Sus scrofa: one gene and its partners. Each later gene encodes a partner of the first gene's protein in a complex. Links are inferred from orthologs where the notes say so. Each region holds a gene or a part of one and is shown in the gene's direction. Other genes may lie near its edges. The genes, in order: NGFR, ARHGDIA, TRADD and RIPK2.

The links.
Region 2: the proteins of NGFR (region 1) and ARHGDIA are in contact, whole or in part, in an NMR structure (PDB 8X8T), measured with the Homo sapiens proteins. The link is inferred for Sus scrofa from reciprocal best matches to the Homo sapiens genes NGFR and ARHGDIA. Residues at the interface, in NP_002498.1 of Homo sapiens: Arg274, Trp275, Ser277, Cys278, Lys279, Gln280, Lys282, Gln283, Gly284, Ala285, Ser287, Arg288, Pro289, Val290, Asn291, Gln292, Thr293, Pro294, Pro295, Pro296, Glu299, Lys300, Leu301, Ile307, Ser308, Val309, Gln312, Ser313, Asp316, Gln317; in NP_001172006.1 of Homo sapiens: Ala8, Glu9, Leu11, Ala12, Gln13, Ile14, Ala15, Ala16, Glu17, Asn18, Glu19, Glu20, Asp21, Glu22, Val25, Pro30, Ala31, Gln32, Lys33, Ile35, Gln36, Glu37, Ile38, Gln39, Glu40, Leu41, Asp42, Lys43, Asp44, Asp45.
Region 3: the proteins of NGFR (region 1) and TRADD are in contact, whole or in part, in an NMR structure (PDB 7CSQ), measured with the Homo sapiens proteins. The link is inferred for Sus scrofa from reciprocal best matches to the Homo sapiens genes NGFR and TRADD. Residues at the interface, in NP_002498.1 of Homo sapiens: Glu345, Glu346, Glu348, Lys349, Leu350, Asn352, Gly353, Ser354, Ala355, Glu379, Ala380, Cys381, Arg384, Glu420; in NP_001310481.1 of Homo sapiens: Thr201, Phe202, Asn211, Ala275, Glu276, Arg278, Arg279, Thr281, Gln283, Arg284, Glu287.
Region 4: the proteins of NGFR (region 1) and RIPK2 are in contact, whole or in part, in an NMR structure (PDB 2N83), measured with the Homo sapiens proteins. The link is inferred for Sus scrofa from reciprocal best matches to the Homo sapiens genes NGFR and RIPK2. Residues at the interface, in NP_002498.1 of Homo sapiens: Gly334, Leu335, Ser338, Leu339, Pro340, Lys343, Val347, Ser354, Ala355, Asp357, Arg360, His361, Gly364, Glu365, Tyr368, Pro370, Ile373, Asp374, Leu398, Asp399, Leu401, Leu402, Arg406, Arg407, Ile408, Gln409, Arg410, Ala411, Asp412, Val414; in NP_003812.1 of Homo sapiens: Gln437, Ser465, Arg466, Asp467, Leu468, Met470, Glu472, Asp495, Ile496, Gln497, Gly498, Glu499, Glu500, Lys503, Ile523, Leu524, Val526, Ser527, Arg528, Ser529, Pro530, Ser531, Leu532, Asn533, Leu534, Gln536.

Annotation. Positions count from the first base shown.
Region 1 is NC_010454.4:25,709,393-25,712,954, forward strand, and holds part of NGFR (tumor necrosis factor receptor superfamily member 16), read left to right. Parts: intron 1-1,094; coding exon 1,095-1,454; intron 1,455-3,562. UniProt on the Homo sapiens protein: Low affinity receptor which can bind to NGF, BDNF, NTF3, and NTF4. Forms a heterodimeric receptor with SORCS2 that binds the precursor forms of NGF, BDNF and NTF3 with high affinity, and has much lower affinity for mature NGF and BDNF.
Region 2 is NC_010454.4:1,112,245-1,116,246, forward strand, and holds the start of ARHGDIA (rho GDP-dissociation inhibitor 1), read left to right. Parts: upstream 1-1,150; 5' UTR 1,151-1,197; intron 1,198-1,429; exon of another isoform or gene 1,430-1,453; intron 1,454-1,527; exon of another isoform or gene 1,528-1,767; intron 1,768-2,616; exon of another isoform or gene 2,617-2,747; coding exon of another isoform or gene 2,748-2,792; coding exon 2,793-2,982; intron 2,983-3,087; coding exon 3,088-3,171; intron 3,172-3,398; coding exon 3,399-3,475; intron 3,476-3,554; coding exon 3,555-3,618; intron 3,619-3,713; coding exon 3,714-3,913; 3' UTR 3,914-4,002. UniProt on the Homo sapiens protein: Controls Rho proteins homeostasis. Regulates the GDP/GTP exchange reaction of the Rho proteins by inhibiting the dissociation of GDP from them, and the subsequent binding of GTP to them.
Region 3 is NC_010448.4:27,797,091-27,799,433, reverse strand, and holds the end of TRADD (tumor necrosis factor receptor type 1-associated DEATH domain protein), read left to right. Parts: intron 1-111; exon of another isoform or gene 112-326; coding exon 327-604; exon of another isoform or gene 605-685; coding exon 686-860; exon of another isoform or gene 861-1,003; coding exon 1,004-1,314; 3' UTR 1,315-1,840; downstream 1,841-2,343. UniProt on the Homo sapiens protein: Adapter molecule for TNFRSF1A/TNFR1 that specifically associates with the cytoplasmic domain of activated TNFRSF1A/TNFR1 mediating its interaction with FADD.
Region 4 is NC_010446.5:47,072,307-47,076,421, reverse strand, and holds the start of RIPK2 (receptor-interacting serine/threonine-protein kinase 2), read left to right. Parts: upstream 1-1,288; 5' UTR 1,289-1,904; coding exon 1,905-2,077; intron 2,078-4,115.

The DNA of each region.
Region 1 (3,562 bases):
AGTGAAAAGCAGAGATGCTTTTCTCTTCTTTGCTTCTCCAGCCCCACCCTCAGCCGCCAAAATAATGACCCTGCGCTCCATCTTGGCTCTTGATGCCTTTAGAGAAGCTTAAGATTTAGGACCCCCCTGCCCCCAGCAAGCTTCAGTTTCCCTCCAGTGGGCTCCTAATATCTCTACCCCTGCTTCCGCCTTCTGGGCAGTCCTCCTACCCCAGTTGTCAGGTTCTAAACCTGTGCTCTTCCAGCCTCTTGGATTCAGTCTGGCGTCAATTTCTCCACCTTGGGCTGGAAGGGGTGACGTTCTGGCTCTGTGCCTTCCTGCCTCTTTGCACGAGGATGCAAGGACTCTGGCATCCCCAGCACATCCATGCCCTGATTCTGGAGCTCCCGCCCCTTAATTGAGCGTGAGTCAAGCATGAGCTTGAAAATATTTCCCTCGTGCCATTTGAAAGGGCGCTGGACTATATGTGCAAGTCCTTTTTCTTTCTAGCCCGGATCCCTCCTGCTGTAGCTTTCGTGCCAGGAGTCCATCCCTGCCCTCAAGAGCCAAGCCCTTCTAGCAGCCAGGAGTAGCAGCGCCGTGGGTGGGAAATTCTGTTGTCTAACCCTAGTCACTCCCATTCAGGACACACCTGCTCCCACCTGTGCCGAAAGGGATGGAAGGAGGCTCCCTGGGGAAGGCCGGCTGTGCCTGGGCTGGGTTCACAGCTCAACTCTGGCCTGCAGGGAGGGCTGGATGGGAACCATGCTCAGATTATTCCTTAATCACGCTGGGAACTCTTTAAAAGAGTTTGTCCAAAAAATGTACCAGCAGTGGCTGGGTTACCCCTGGGAAACCCCAGGGCCAGAGCTTCCGGGGTCTGGAGCTGGGGGCTCTCGGCTCCCTTCCTCCTTCCCAGGCTCCTGCCACCAGCTTTGACCCCAGGGGAGGGGGTGGGAGTCAAAATGGGGGGAGCGGGGCGAAACGAGGGGGTCAGAGCCCTGGCCCTGGCCGGGGATGGGGCAGGAAGGCTTCCAGCCTCTGCATCCTACGTGCCCCCAAGGAGAGGAAACTAAACTGGGGCGCAACTTCCCCGCGCGTCCATCTGTCCTCAGGCGTGACCTTCTCGGACGTGGTGAGCGCCACCGAGCCGTGTAAGCCGTGCACCGAGTGCGTGGGGCTGCAGAGCATGTCAGCGCCCTGCGTGGAGGCGGACGACGCCGTGTGCCGCTGCGCCTACGGCTACTACCAGGACGAGACGACCGGCCGCTGCGAGGCGTGTCGCGTGTGCGAGGCGGGCTCGGGGCTGGTGTTCTCGTGCCAGGATAAGCAGAACACCGTGTGCGAGGAGTGCCCCGACGGCACGTACTCCGACGAGGCCAACCACGTGGACCCGTGCCTGCCCTGCACGGTGTGCGAGGACACCGAGCGCCAGCTTCGCGAGTGCACGCGCTGGGCCGACGCGGAGTGCGAGGGTGAGTGTGCGCGGAGCGGACCTGGGGCAGGCAGGCTGGGTCCTGGCCGGCAGGACAGCCCTGTGGCCTCGAGCCAGCGGGCATCCTCCCAAGCCTTCCCACCAAGGGACCCCGTCCACTATTTCCGCCTTTGGGCTAAGTGGTTGGAAAGCCATGCGCCTCCTCCCAGGCCCCACTCCTTTTCCAAGGCTTTATTAATCTGTGGCTACTGACTGGGGATTGGAGGGGTGACAGTTAAGCAGCCCAGAGGTGGCCTCTGTGTGCAGAGGCACAGATAGGACATGTTTGATCCTTGAGGCCGACTCTCTGAACTGGAGGAGGGGCCCGAGGGTCCTGGGGGTTGGGCGCTTAGTGGTTTATGGTTCTGGGACCTGGGATAGAATCCACCCTGTCCCTTACTATCTGCTTGAAGTCAAGGAAGTCACTCCTGCCTCTGGACCTGTCTCCTTACTGGTCATCGGGTTTCCAGGGTTGCTGTGGGTTAGGGAAGGGGGCTGGCTCCCTTCCCCTGGTGGGAGAGGGGTCAGCAGTCACTGGTACAGTTGAGTCAAGGATGAAGTTGGACCCCGGGAACACACACTAAGTGGTTGTGGGGATAGGAGCTTGGGGACAGAGAAAGAAAGGAAGCAGCAGGCCTGGGGCTCGGGAGCCAGAGGACGAGACAGGTGCACACAGACGGCCCTTTGCCTCCCCCCACTCCCCCCACACCGGGGTGGATGGGAGCTGAGGGTGCCCACCTTCGCCAGATGGGGGCAGTTCCTGGGGTGGGAGGAGGACACCCTGTGGCAGCCAGGACAGAACTGTTTTGGTCTCTGGTTGGGGACATCCATCTTGGGGGAGAGACTGACAGGGCCTTTGCTTTCTGTCAATCACCCCATGGCTGGGCACACATTTCGCTCTTTCCCCTGGGGACCCAACCCTCAGGGTGGTGCCCTCACTCTGAGCAGGCGGCACCGAGCCTCCACCAAGGAGCCCTGAGTTGGACAGGACACAGACGGCCTTTGCCCGAGTCTGATGAGGGAGAGGCGGTCCCAGCACTTAGTTCCTGGGAGATCCTTCATTCTGGCGGAGGCTGCATTGCCCCCCTGCCCCAGTCAGCCCCGAGTCGCAAGGGAGTGATAGAAGCCTGCCCGGGGAGCCTCTAGTCTGACACACCCATGCCTTCCTTCCACATCCTGTGATCCCCCCCCTTGCACAGGGACCTCAGGGTGGAGAAGGCTATTAAGCTGGGCTGAAGCCAGGTATGTGTGAGAAGCTTCTTCCTGTATTCAGATGTGGGGTCAGGGTGGAGGAGCAGGGGCGGGGGGGAAGAGAACAAGGGGGTTCCGGTGGCAATTGCCCTGGGCCAGGAGACAGGCAAGTAGCATCAGGCACAGAGCAGAGCAGGGAGGGAGTTTCAGCAGCCTGCAGGCGGGCAGGCGGGCAGCACCGGTCTGCGGGCAAGTCCTGACCAGCTGGCAGGTGGGCAGGCAGGGGCTCAGTTAGAGCAAAGGAAGGTGGTGGCTGGGGGAGGGGGGGGGTTCTGCTTTTGGGGAGTGGGCTTTCCCAGCCACCCTGAAGGGGGGCATTTATCTCTGTTCCCCACCCCCACCCCCGGTTCTAGCCTCTGAAGGGGTCAATGTCAGCTCTAGGGCAGAGGGAACGTTTCTGGAACTGGAATTTGATTCCTGCTTTGGTTGCCCCCGCCTCTGCCCCAGTGCAGGGTACTTCCTTGCGCATTCATTTCAGGTGTCAACATGGTGACTCACCCACCCTGGGGGCAGAAACACACCCCCCTACCACCACCACCAACCAAAGAAAGTTGGGTTTAGGAAAGGTAACCTGGTCCCTCCTTCCACCCCCACGCCTGACAGCTCCCATTCCGGAAATGGCTGTCAGGACCTGCCGAGGGCTTGGTGGGTTGGAATGCTAGTGGACATGGCCACATCTGGATCTCATCCCCTGCTTCCCTCCCAAGGGGGGGCGGGGGGTATAGATTGGAGAGATGTGGGGAAAGCACCTTGGAAGGCGCTGTCTTCAGCCTGGTCCATCCTCCGCCCTCTCTCAGCTCTTTCCCACTTCTCTCCAATCTCTGTGACGCCGGATTCCCTGACGGCCCCCCCGCCCCC
Region 2 (4,002 bases), about 25 Mb from region 1:
GTGAGCTGTGGTGTAGGTTGCAGACACGGCTGGGATCCTGCGTTGCTGTGGCTCTGGCATAGGCCGGTGGCTACAGCTCCAATTCAACCCCTAGCCTGGGAACCTCCATATGCCGCGGGAGCGGCCCAAAGAAATAGCAAAAAGACAAAAAAAAGACAAAAAAAAAAAAAAAAAAGAATAAATAAAGTAAAAGGCACTTGGGTTACTGGAAAGCAGTTTGGCAGCGAGGCAGGACGCCCGGCTCTGGCGTTGCAGCTTCCAGTAACAGGACGCCTGCGAAGCACATCCCAGGAACCAACCAGCTTGGAATGCTCTGCCTTTGGCCAGCTCAACTTTCTACACAGAAAGCTGACAGTATTCCCCAAACTGGCGCAAGTTGAGACATTTCCAAAAATACTAAGATCAGTATTTCGCAGTTCTATCGCTTCTACCGCCTAACAAGCCGATGCGCCATCCAGGTGAGCGTACGTGACCGCGCCGTGGAGCGGAGGGCTTGGACCCCACGCGGAGAGACGAGCGCTGGGGGCCCTCGGCAGCGCGGGCTCCATCCCGCCGGCCACAAATCACGCGCGCCCCCAGCCCCGGCGCTCCGGGTGGAGACCCCGGGGGACGGTGGCGGCTGAGCCAGGGGCTTCCGGAGTCACGAGCGGCACAGAGCCGCTCCCGATGCTGAGTTTCTCTTCGTGAAGGAGCGCTCCCGGCAGGGCGGCCAAACGCTGACGGGTCTGGAAAGGAAGGAAAGGCAGGGACGGCGCGCTGGTTTCGGGGACGGGGGCTGCCCGACTAGCGCGTCCCCGCGGTGTGACGGCTGCGTGCCCGAGAGACACGCCTGCGCCTCGCGTGCCACGCCCACCGTCCGCGAGCCACTGCCTCGCCCCTTTAGCTTGCGGGTTGACCCGCGGGGACGCCCCGGACCAGGAAACGCAGGTGCCAAAGGGCGCAGAACCCCAACCCTACCGGCCTCCACAGGGCTCCCCGCTCGCTGCCCACGCGGGACGCGCCCACAAGCCGGGATCTCAAGATGGCCGCGGCGCGCTCCCAGCAGCCCCCGCGCACGCATGCGCTCTCCGGAGCCCGCCCGGCGCGAGCGGAAGTCGCGTGATCCCGGAAGTGGCCGGCCGGGCGCGCGCGGGTGGGGCGGCGACGTTCGTCATTCCGTGCGGGAGGGAGCGCGAGAGCGGCGCGGTCGAGGCTCCGGTGAGCGCGGGCGGCGGGGCCGGCTGGTGCGGTGGGCTAGCGGGCGGGGCAGCCGCGGAGGGGGAGGCGGGGGGCCGCGCCTTTGTTCCCGCCGCCCGCCCCGCCCGCCCCGCCCTCCTGCCTGCCCACCCGAAGGGTCTGCGCTGGGCGGGGGCGGCGGTGACAGCGGGCGGCGGCCGGGGCGCCGGGGCAGCCCACGTGCGAATCGGGGACGCCGGAGGAGGGAGGCGGCGGCGAGGGAGCTGGAAGGCGAGAGGTGGGGGCGTAGGGGCCGGGGGCGGGAGCTGGGGATGCACAGAGGTGCAGGCCTCTTTTGTGGTCGCAGCTCGTGCTCAGCGGCTCCCTCCTCGCCGGTGCACGCCAGCCTGCTCCGGCCGGACGCCCACTCGCCTGAGCCGTGTGGCCCCCGCGCCCCACCCCGCGCGCCTGCCGCGCCCTGTCCAGATTGCGGGCCCTGCAGGAAGTGCGCGCCGCGCGATCGCACTTAGAGGATCCTGTCGCCTGCGGCCGCGCTTGAGTGGCGTTAGGGCGTGAGCTTTCTAGAGGAATTCCAGAGGAAGCGACTAGGAGGTCTGGAAATACGGGCCGGGCCCCACCCTGCCTTCGGCGGCCGGGTGGTTCCGGGTCCCCCGCGGCCCTTTGTGAGATCTTGTCCGCGCGCACATCCCGGCTTTGGCTGTCTTTACGGACAACGGCGGCCCTGACCCACCTCCCACACCACCGAGTCGGGTCCGAGCGGGTTTCAGATACTGCTCGGGGATTCCGGGGGGGGTATGCGATGGTCATTCTTAGTGAAAGAAGACCAGTGGCTGCCCTATGCACTGCTCCTCTCTTTGATGGCACTGCTGCGAGCTCTTCTGGGCGAGGATCCCGAAGGGGGCTCCTGAAATTCCCACACGTCTAGAGCAGTTTCCAAATTCTAGGTCTCTGAACCCTCACAGCTGGAGATAAGGTTGGCAGACATTTAGGGTCCCTCGTCCATTTCAGGATTTATCTGTGCGACTCAGGCTAGCCCTGTCATCTGAGCCTTAGGAGAGCCTTGTGTTTGTAGGGTGAGAAAGAACTAACTTGTAGCCTGCACAGACATTTAGGACAGGCCTGAAGGAACAGACCGATCAGCAATAGTCAGTAGGAGGGATCTCTTGAGGTGAGCCCCTGGGCGATTCAGGACAAGCAGCAGGACTTGGTCCTGACCCTGCTAGGTAGGTCTGGGGTGCTGCTGCTTCCTGGAAGCAGGGGAGCTGTCCCTGGTCTTTGCAAGGGGCAGGCTGGGGCCTCTCTAGCCCTGGATACTGTGGACCTGGAATTGGGTCCCCTGAGGTGGGCAGGATGAGGAGGTGAAGGTGGCCCTTCTGGGCCTCGGGAGACTGTTTCCGGGCCCTTTTCGACGTTCTGGCTGTCATGGCCTTCCTGTTACAGAGGATGCGCCTGCTCTTGGGCCCACATGGAGGCTTGGCCACCTGTGGAGGAAGATCCAACACTGATCACCAGTGGGACCTGCAGAAGGGCTAGAAGGGGCGACGCTGGGTTCCTCCAGGCTGCCACAGCCCATGCCACCCTGCCCACAGGTGTCCCAGACCCCGCTAGAAGAGAGCATGGCTGAGCAGGAGCCCACCGCCGAGCAGCTGGCACAGATTGCAGCTGAGAACGAGGAGGACGAGCACTCGGTCAACTACAAGCCCCCGGCCCAGAAGAGCATCCAGGAGATCCAGGAGCTGGACAAGGACGACGAGAGTTTGCGCAAGTACAAGGAGGCCCTGTTGGGCCGCGTGGCCGTGTCTGCTGGTGAGTGGACAGGAGCGCGGGTACCCGTGGCTTTCCTGGGTGTCTGCCGCTATTTACCCCCCCCCCCCCCCCCCCGCAGAATTCTAACTTGCGATCACTTTGCAGACCCCAACGTCCCCAATGTCGTGGTGACCCGCCTGACCCTGGTGTGTAGCACTGCCCCAGGGCCTCTAGAGCTGGACCTGACAGGTGAGTGGCCTCTCCGAGGTTCCTGGCTGGGGCCGCAGCGGTCGGCTGCTTCCGCTAAAAATAGTTTCTCGGGCTGCTGGCGCCCTCTGCTGGGGAGCACAAGAAGTGCAGCCGAGTCCTCTTACAGGGGTTGTGGCTTTTCCAGTCTTGCGTCTGGGGTGCCCAGGATGGTGGGAGGTGACTTCCTTTGGGTGAACTTCCTAGCATGGTCTTTCTCTCAAATTCAGGAGATCTGGAGAGTTTCAAGAAGCAATCCTTTGTGCTGAAGGAGGGTGTGGAATACCGGATAAAGATCTCTTTCCGGGTAAGGCGCCGGCGTCGGGGAGGTGCGGGGCCTGGGTGGGAAAGCCTCGCTGAGCCCTGCTCGGGGTGCCTCCCTGCAGGTGAACCGAGAGATCGTGTCGGGCATGAAGTACATCCAGCACACGTACAGGAAGGGGGTCAAGAGTGAGTGAGCGGGGCCCCCAGCCCCCAGGAGGGAGGGAGACCCGGGGGGTGGGGAGCAGAGCTGCCTCCTGACGGCTGTGTTCCCTGCATCGCAGTCGACAAGACCGATTACATGGTGGGGAGCTACGGGCCCCGGGCGGAGGAGTATGAGTTCCTGACGCCCATGGAGGAGGCGCCCAAGGGCATGCTGGCTCGAGGCAGCTACAGCATCAAGTCGCGCTTCACAGACGACGACAGGACCGACCACCTGTCCTGGGAGTGGAACCTCACCATCAAGAAGGAGTGGAAGGACTGAGCTGCGGCCGGAGGGAGGCGGGCAGGGCGGCCGAGGTCGAGGACGTGCCCCCCCACCCCCCCCATCCCCCGGACCCCAGACCAAAGTGC
Region 3 (2,343 bases), on another chromosome or scaffold:
GGCTGCCCAGGATAAATGCCCCTTTTTCTACTCTGCAAAGTCTCCCACATCCCTTGTGCCCACCCTCATTTGAGGATTCAAGGACGGGGCTAAAGTGACACCCACTCCGTCTTAAGGTGCTCTCTGTGAGAGGTCTTGGCCTTTATTCTGGGTTGTTGTTGTCTGCCTCCCAATTTTGCTTCCCTGCTGGGAGCTCTGGGTTATACCCTTGCCCCCAGGTCTGGGGATAGGGAGGGAGTCTGACCTCGGGCTTCGTTCCTCCTCTGGCCTCTTGGAGAACGGGCCCGATAGGGGACCTCGTGGTGCCTGACTGCCCGCCTCCGCAGAGAGTGGCGGGAGCCCGGAGGAGCTGCAGATGCTCAAGATTCACCGCAGCGATCCGCAGCTGATTGTTCAATTGCGTTTCTGTGGGCGCCAGGCCTGCAGCCGCTTCCTCCGGGCCTACCGCGAGGGGGCACTGCGCACCGCTCTGCAGGCGTGCTTGGAGGCTGCTCTGGCCCTGAGTTCCGTGCCTTTGCAACTGGAGCTGCGCGCCAGCGCAGAGCGGCTGGACGCCTTGCTGACAGACGAGGAACGCTGTTTGAATTTCATCTTCGCCCAGAAGGTGCGGCCGGGCTGGGGCCAGGGTGAGGTGGGGTGGGGATCCGAGGCTAAGACCCCACCAATGCCGCACTCTCCTCCCTAGCCTGACCGGCTCCGGGATGAGGAACTCACAGAGTTGGAGGATGCGCTCAGAAATCTGACCTGCGGCTCAGGGGGCCAAGGGGGTGACGTGGAGGGCGCTCCAGCCACCTCTACTGCGGAGAAGCTGCCGCCACCGCCGTCTGGCCAGACTTTTCTGTTCCAGGGTCAGCCTGTCGGTGAGGTGCCCGGAGAGCGGCAAAGGCTGGGTCCTCTGTAGGATGGAGTCTGGGGAGGGGCGAGGTCTGGGCAGGATAGTCGCAGGGTGGGAATGGAAGTGTCTCCTCTCCCCAGCTCACGCCACTTCCCATTCCCCCTGCAGTGAACCGGCCGCTGAGCCTGCAGGACCAACTGACGTTTGCGCGCTCAGTGGGCCTCAAGTGGCGCAAGGTGGGGCGCTCCTTGCAGCGTGGTTGCCGGGCGCTGCGGGACCCGGCTCTTGACTCACTGGCCTATGAATACGAGCGCGAAGGGCTGTACGAGCAGGCCTTTCAGCTGCTGCGGCGCTTTGTGCAGGCCGAGGGCCGCCGAGCCACGCTGCAGCGCCTGGTAGAGGCCCTTGAGGAGAACGAGCTCACCAGCCTGGCAGAAGACTTGCTGGGCCTGGCGAATCCCGATGGCAGCCTGGCCTAGACTGAGTACCAGAGAAAGAGGGTGGTCAGCCAGTTGCCCAGCCAGGGTTTGGGGCACCTGGATGACCATAGGTTCCCTTCTGCTGCTACTGCTGATCTTCTGTCCATCCATGGGACTCTGAGATGACACTCAACCCCACTTCGCTGAGCTGCTGGAGCTGCTGGGCAGAGGTGACTGCCCTCTCCGGGAGACGGACAAGCATCCATTATGCCTGCTGGAGGTTCTGCTCTAAATACTATGATAGAGACAGAGTTAACTGGTGACCTGCTGCAGAAGTCTGCCTCACCCTCTCCCACCCCAGAAGAGGGGCTTTCAGCCAGACCTTACCTCTTCATTCACCGAATGAACAATTATTATTCATTAATTCATTAAGGACCTGCTGTATCTTAGGCATCATCTTAAGTGTTCCAAATATTGTGCTGAAACAAGATACACGAATCCTGCCTGCTCCCAGTTGACACTCAGTATGGTACTCTGAATATTAAGCATCAGTAATAAAATACTACCCACTTTTTGATGTGAAAAATACAAGGAATTGGGGTTGCAGCTGAGCAGGGGTGAAACTTCCTGGGAGAGAAATGAGTATGAATGGGGGGAGGGGAAGAGAAAGTCAATATTCTGGGCATGGCCAGACTCAGCTGAGGTCTTAAGGAAGCTGAGAGGGAGGGCTTAGACTGAGAAGGTTTAGACTGGCTGGCTCTAGGGGTAGGTGGATTTGCAGAGACCTGTTGGTGAGTGGGGGAGGCAGATGGCATGGGGCCTGGTAAGCCATTTTGAGTTGGATTTTATCCAGAGGCCAATGAGAAGCCTTTAAAGGGTTTTGGTAGATGAGGCTGGGAGGCTGGTAAGGATGCAGACTGAGAGAGGACAGTGGTCCAGACTGCAGCAGCTGGCAGCAGAGATGGAGGGAAGGGATGAACCCTGAGAGCTGTTCAGGACAAAGGATAACAAGCTTGGTGGAGAGGACCTCAAAGTTTCTGCCTTTGCCAGCTGGGTGGAGGGTGGAGCTGCCTGCCGAGATAGGGGTCC
Region 4 (4,115 bases), on another chromosome or scaffold:
ATCCAATGCCATTCTAATTCCCATTCATTTTTTTGTTTCTTCCCTCCGAAAACTTTTGGAATCTTTTCTTTCTTAGGGTTCTTATCTTTTTATTGATGTGTTTTAATATGTATCTTTATGCAAACTATTACATTTAGAATTAATAAGCAATGAGGTCCTACTGTACAACACAGGGAACTATATCCAATTTCTTGGGGTAGAGCATGATGGAAGACCATATGAGGAAAAAAAATGCACATATAAGTATGACTGGGTCACTATGTTGTACAGCAGAAATTGACATAATACTGTGTATCAACTATACTCTAACAAAAAATGTAAAAAATTTTAAAGATATAGGTCTTTTTTCATTCACTGTGAGGAGCTAATGGGCCCTTTCAATATGAAGACCTTTGTCCTTTGATACTGGAAAAATTTCTTAAATTGTTATTTTGATCATTTCCTCTTTATTTACATTTTACTCTCTTTGGAACTCTTTTTTAACTGGATGAAAGAATGAAAGGAAAAAGTTTTCTGAGCACTTTTTGAGCAAAAAGCTTATTAAGTAATAAACCACAGATTATCAGACCATATCTTTGAAGCTAGACATTTTATTTTGAATGATCAAATTTTAAAACACTCTCATTACAGTTTCCATTTATTGTAAAATGTAACATTGCCACTATCATTTCAGACAATACAAAAAAGGAAGCACCGATTCTCTTTAGGCAAAAATCTCTCATTGAAATCAGGCATTCCTTATTACTTTTGTCTTAGAATTCATTAAATGTCTGGCATGATCTTGGTATTGCATATATTTGCACGCACACTTTGCAAAATAGTCATTTCAGTAGAAAAGTGTTTAAGGTAAAAAGATGAACAGATGTTTGCAGTTTTTTCTGACTGACATTAAACACTGTTTTCTTCCCAGATCTATAAGACAAGCGTTTTCAGTCTTACCTGGAATCAGAGGGAAGGAGAGACTGAAGGTTATTTTTCAATCTCTGTCTATAATTGTGGACTTTGGGGGTGGGGGAAGGAGTAAGAGAAATAGGTCTCATAGTGAACTAAACAGCTGAACTTTTTGTCGGGGTTAAACTCCGACAATCCACCCCCTCAAGACTGAAGTAGCTGGAAGTAATGGAAGATTGGAGTTCAGATAGGCAGGTAAATTTACCCCTATCTGACTCACTGGGTTCAAGAGCTGAGTCCTGGTTAGTCACCACTGCATTCCCTCAAAGCACATTCTGCGCAGGCGCACAGTCCTAGTTGTCAGTCATCACACCCGCCCCGCCACCCCTCCGGGGTTTAGCGACTCCCGGAACACTCGGGGCCCAGAGGAAATTCCTCCGGGGTAAGGGGGGGGGGGGGGGGCTGCTGCCCGGTATGAGGCTGCAGAGAGGAACTGTGCCCAAAAGCAAACTTTCCAAACCTAGCAGGTGGGGGGAGAGAAGACAAAATTGAGCGCCTCTGGTTCCCTTCCCCATCCCAAGCCCGCCCGTACCCCGCCGAAGCGGCACGGGTTTTCTGGGCGCCACCAGGCAGAAATCCTGGCCTCATATCGAGGCCGGAGCCAGCTGGAAGGACCGCGGGCTGTACCGGGGCCCTCTTCGTCGCTTTAGCGTCAGTCGCTGACGTCGACTGAGAAGTCTAGGGAGGGAGGAGCCCCGAAGGGCGGGCTCTGGTGGCTGCGCCTGAGAGGAAGCTCCTCCTCCACCCGCCCAGCGACCCCAGTCTCTAGAGGAGTACTCGGGCTCGGGAAACGCTGCGGCTTGGTGTGGGCTGCTCGGGGAATGGATGACCTCGTGACCTAGCGTCCAACAGCGGGGAGGGCTGGCCGCCCCGAGCGCGCTGGGACGGAGCCGCGGGAACAGCGGGCACACCCGGAACCGGCTGGTGGCCGAGTGCCCGCGCCGCCCGCCACCATGAACGAGGAGGCCATCTGCAGCGCCCTGCCCACCATCCCGTACCGAAAGCTCGCTGACCTGTGCTACTTGAGCCGTGGCGCGTCCGGCACCGTGTCGTCCGCCCGCCACGCAGACTGGCGCATCCAGGTGGCCGTAAAGCACTTGCACATCCACACCCCACTGCTTGACAGGTAAGTCTCCCCAGCGGTTCCCCCGCGGAGTCCCGAAATGTATGTGCCCTGTCCCCTCTGGCTCCAACCCTGGGCTGGCGGGCTCTTCTGCCCAAACGACGGTGACCATGGAGTCGGCCCTACCATTCGTCACTGCTAGGCAGCCCTTCAAGGCTCAGGGCTAACCTGATAGGGAAAACTGGCTTCTCTGAAGATGCAGCAGCCATCGCACTTCTTTTCACAGCCTTCTCTCCTTGGCCTTACTTTCTCCAGGCACCAAAAATCTGCAGTCACAGCCCAACTCTAAACGTCCTCTTTACTGAAATTGGATTTTGTTTGCTTTGTTTTCACCCCTTCTTTTCTGTTTTTGTTGTTGTTTTTTGGGGTTTTTGGTTTTTTTGATTTTTTGTTTTTTTGTTTTTGTAGATGGGTTTCTACCCAATAGGTAGCTCTTAACCATAGGTGGCTTTTGAGCACTTGAAATGTGGCTTTCTGAACTGAAATGTGCTCTAAGTGTAAAATACACAGCAGATTTCTACCACTCACTATTGAAAAAATTATATATATCATTAATACTTTTATATTGATATGCTAAGATGATATTTTTGATACACTGGGATAAATATATTAAAGTTCATTTCAGGTGTTTCTTTTTACTTTTAAAGTGGCTGCTAGAAAATTTTTAATTGTGTGGCTCACATATTTTTATTGCACAGCATGGCTCTAGAGTCAGGGATGTTTCAGTTTTGGCTTTTTATTGTTGTTTTGGTTCGCTACATGTAGTCATGAAAGTTTAGATATCAAATTCAATTCAGTTTGGTTTCTACCCTTAGTCTCACAGAGAAGGAAGCCTGTCCCTAGAGGAAATACATATTGTTTTTTGCTAACAATAAACCAAAATCAGAAGATGGTTATATGACCAAAATTTTTGAATGTCTTTCAAATCCAGCAACAATATTAGTGCAGTTGTCCAGTTTTTAAGGGACAGCTAGCAATGGTTTCTGTTTCCAGAAAAGTCTTTGAACCATATGTATTAGTCAGTGATCTAGTCAGCAGTCTTGTGTATTTTCTTTCCAACAGGAATTTAACTAGGCCCTGTATTCAATTCTTAGTGAGTTAACATTCATGATTGCAACATTCTCCTCTCCTCCTCCCTGTGTCTAAAGTGAAAATACATCATGCTAGATGCCTGATTGGCCAGAGGCTGTAGGCATCCAATAGCAGATTAATTCCTCAGCTTCAGCACTGCTAATATTTAACTTTCATCTGCCTGGGGCTTTTCTTTGCTCTCTTGTTGTCAGGCTTGGATGGACTAGATCTTACAGTAAGTTTGAGACATCTTTAGATATTTTTCACACTTTTTGTGTACCATAATCCAGACCTACTGATATACAGGGTGTGTTTATCCTGGGCCTTGAATTCTGTGGAGCAGGTCCTGGGCAATGTTGTGTATGTGAATGTAGTCAGCTCTGAAGAGTGGTGATTGATTAAAGAAGGCGGACATATTTTAGAATCAACTGTTTTAAAATGTAGAAGTCTAGTACTTATGTACTCATTAGGTATTTTAAAGCAAATTGATCCATTTTGGATCTGCTTCTCAAGATTTTAATTTAAGTTTTGTGCCATTTGGGGCCAAGAAATGAAGATGGAGTTTCCTTTCCATGCTCATTAACAATTTTTATAATCTAAAATTCTTTACTAAATTTGGAAGGAGACTAACTCTGTTGTCAAAGAAACCATAAAAACCAGTGATACGCTTTGGCATTACTGCATCACATTTTTTTCTCCCACTTATTACCTAGAATGTTAACATTAGCAGTATTTTGGTAGTCTGAGCATAGGGCTAGGCTGTGCTGTTGACTCACAGGTGTCTATTTCCTCACTTGTAAAGCCAGGCATACAAATACATGTACTTCTTGGGCTCTGGTGTGGATAATGTTTGCTTTGTTCTTTGGAATCATGAAAGAAAAATAAATTTATGTGCTGTCACATGTTCATTCTTATTTTAGTGATTGGTGAGTTCTCTATAACCTGACTTCTGCCCAATGAGTGGTCCTTC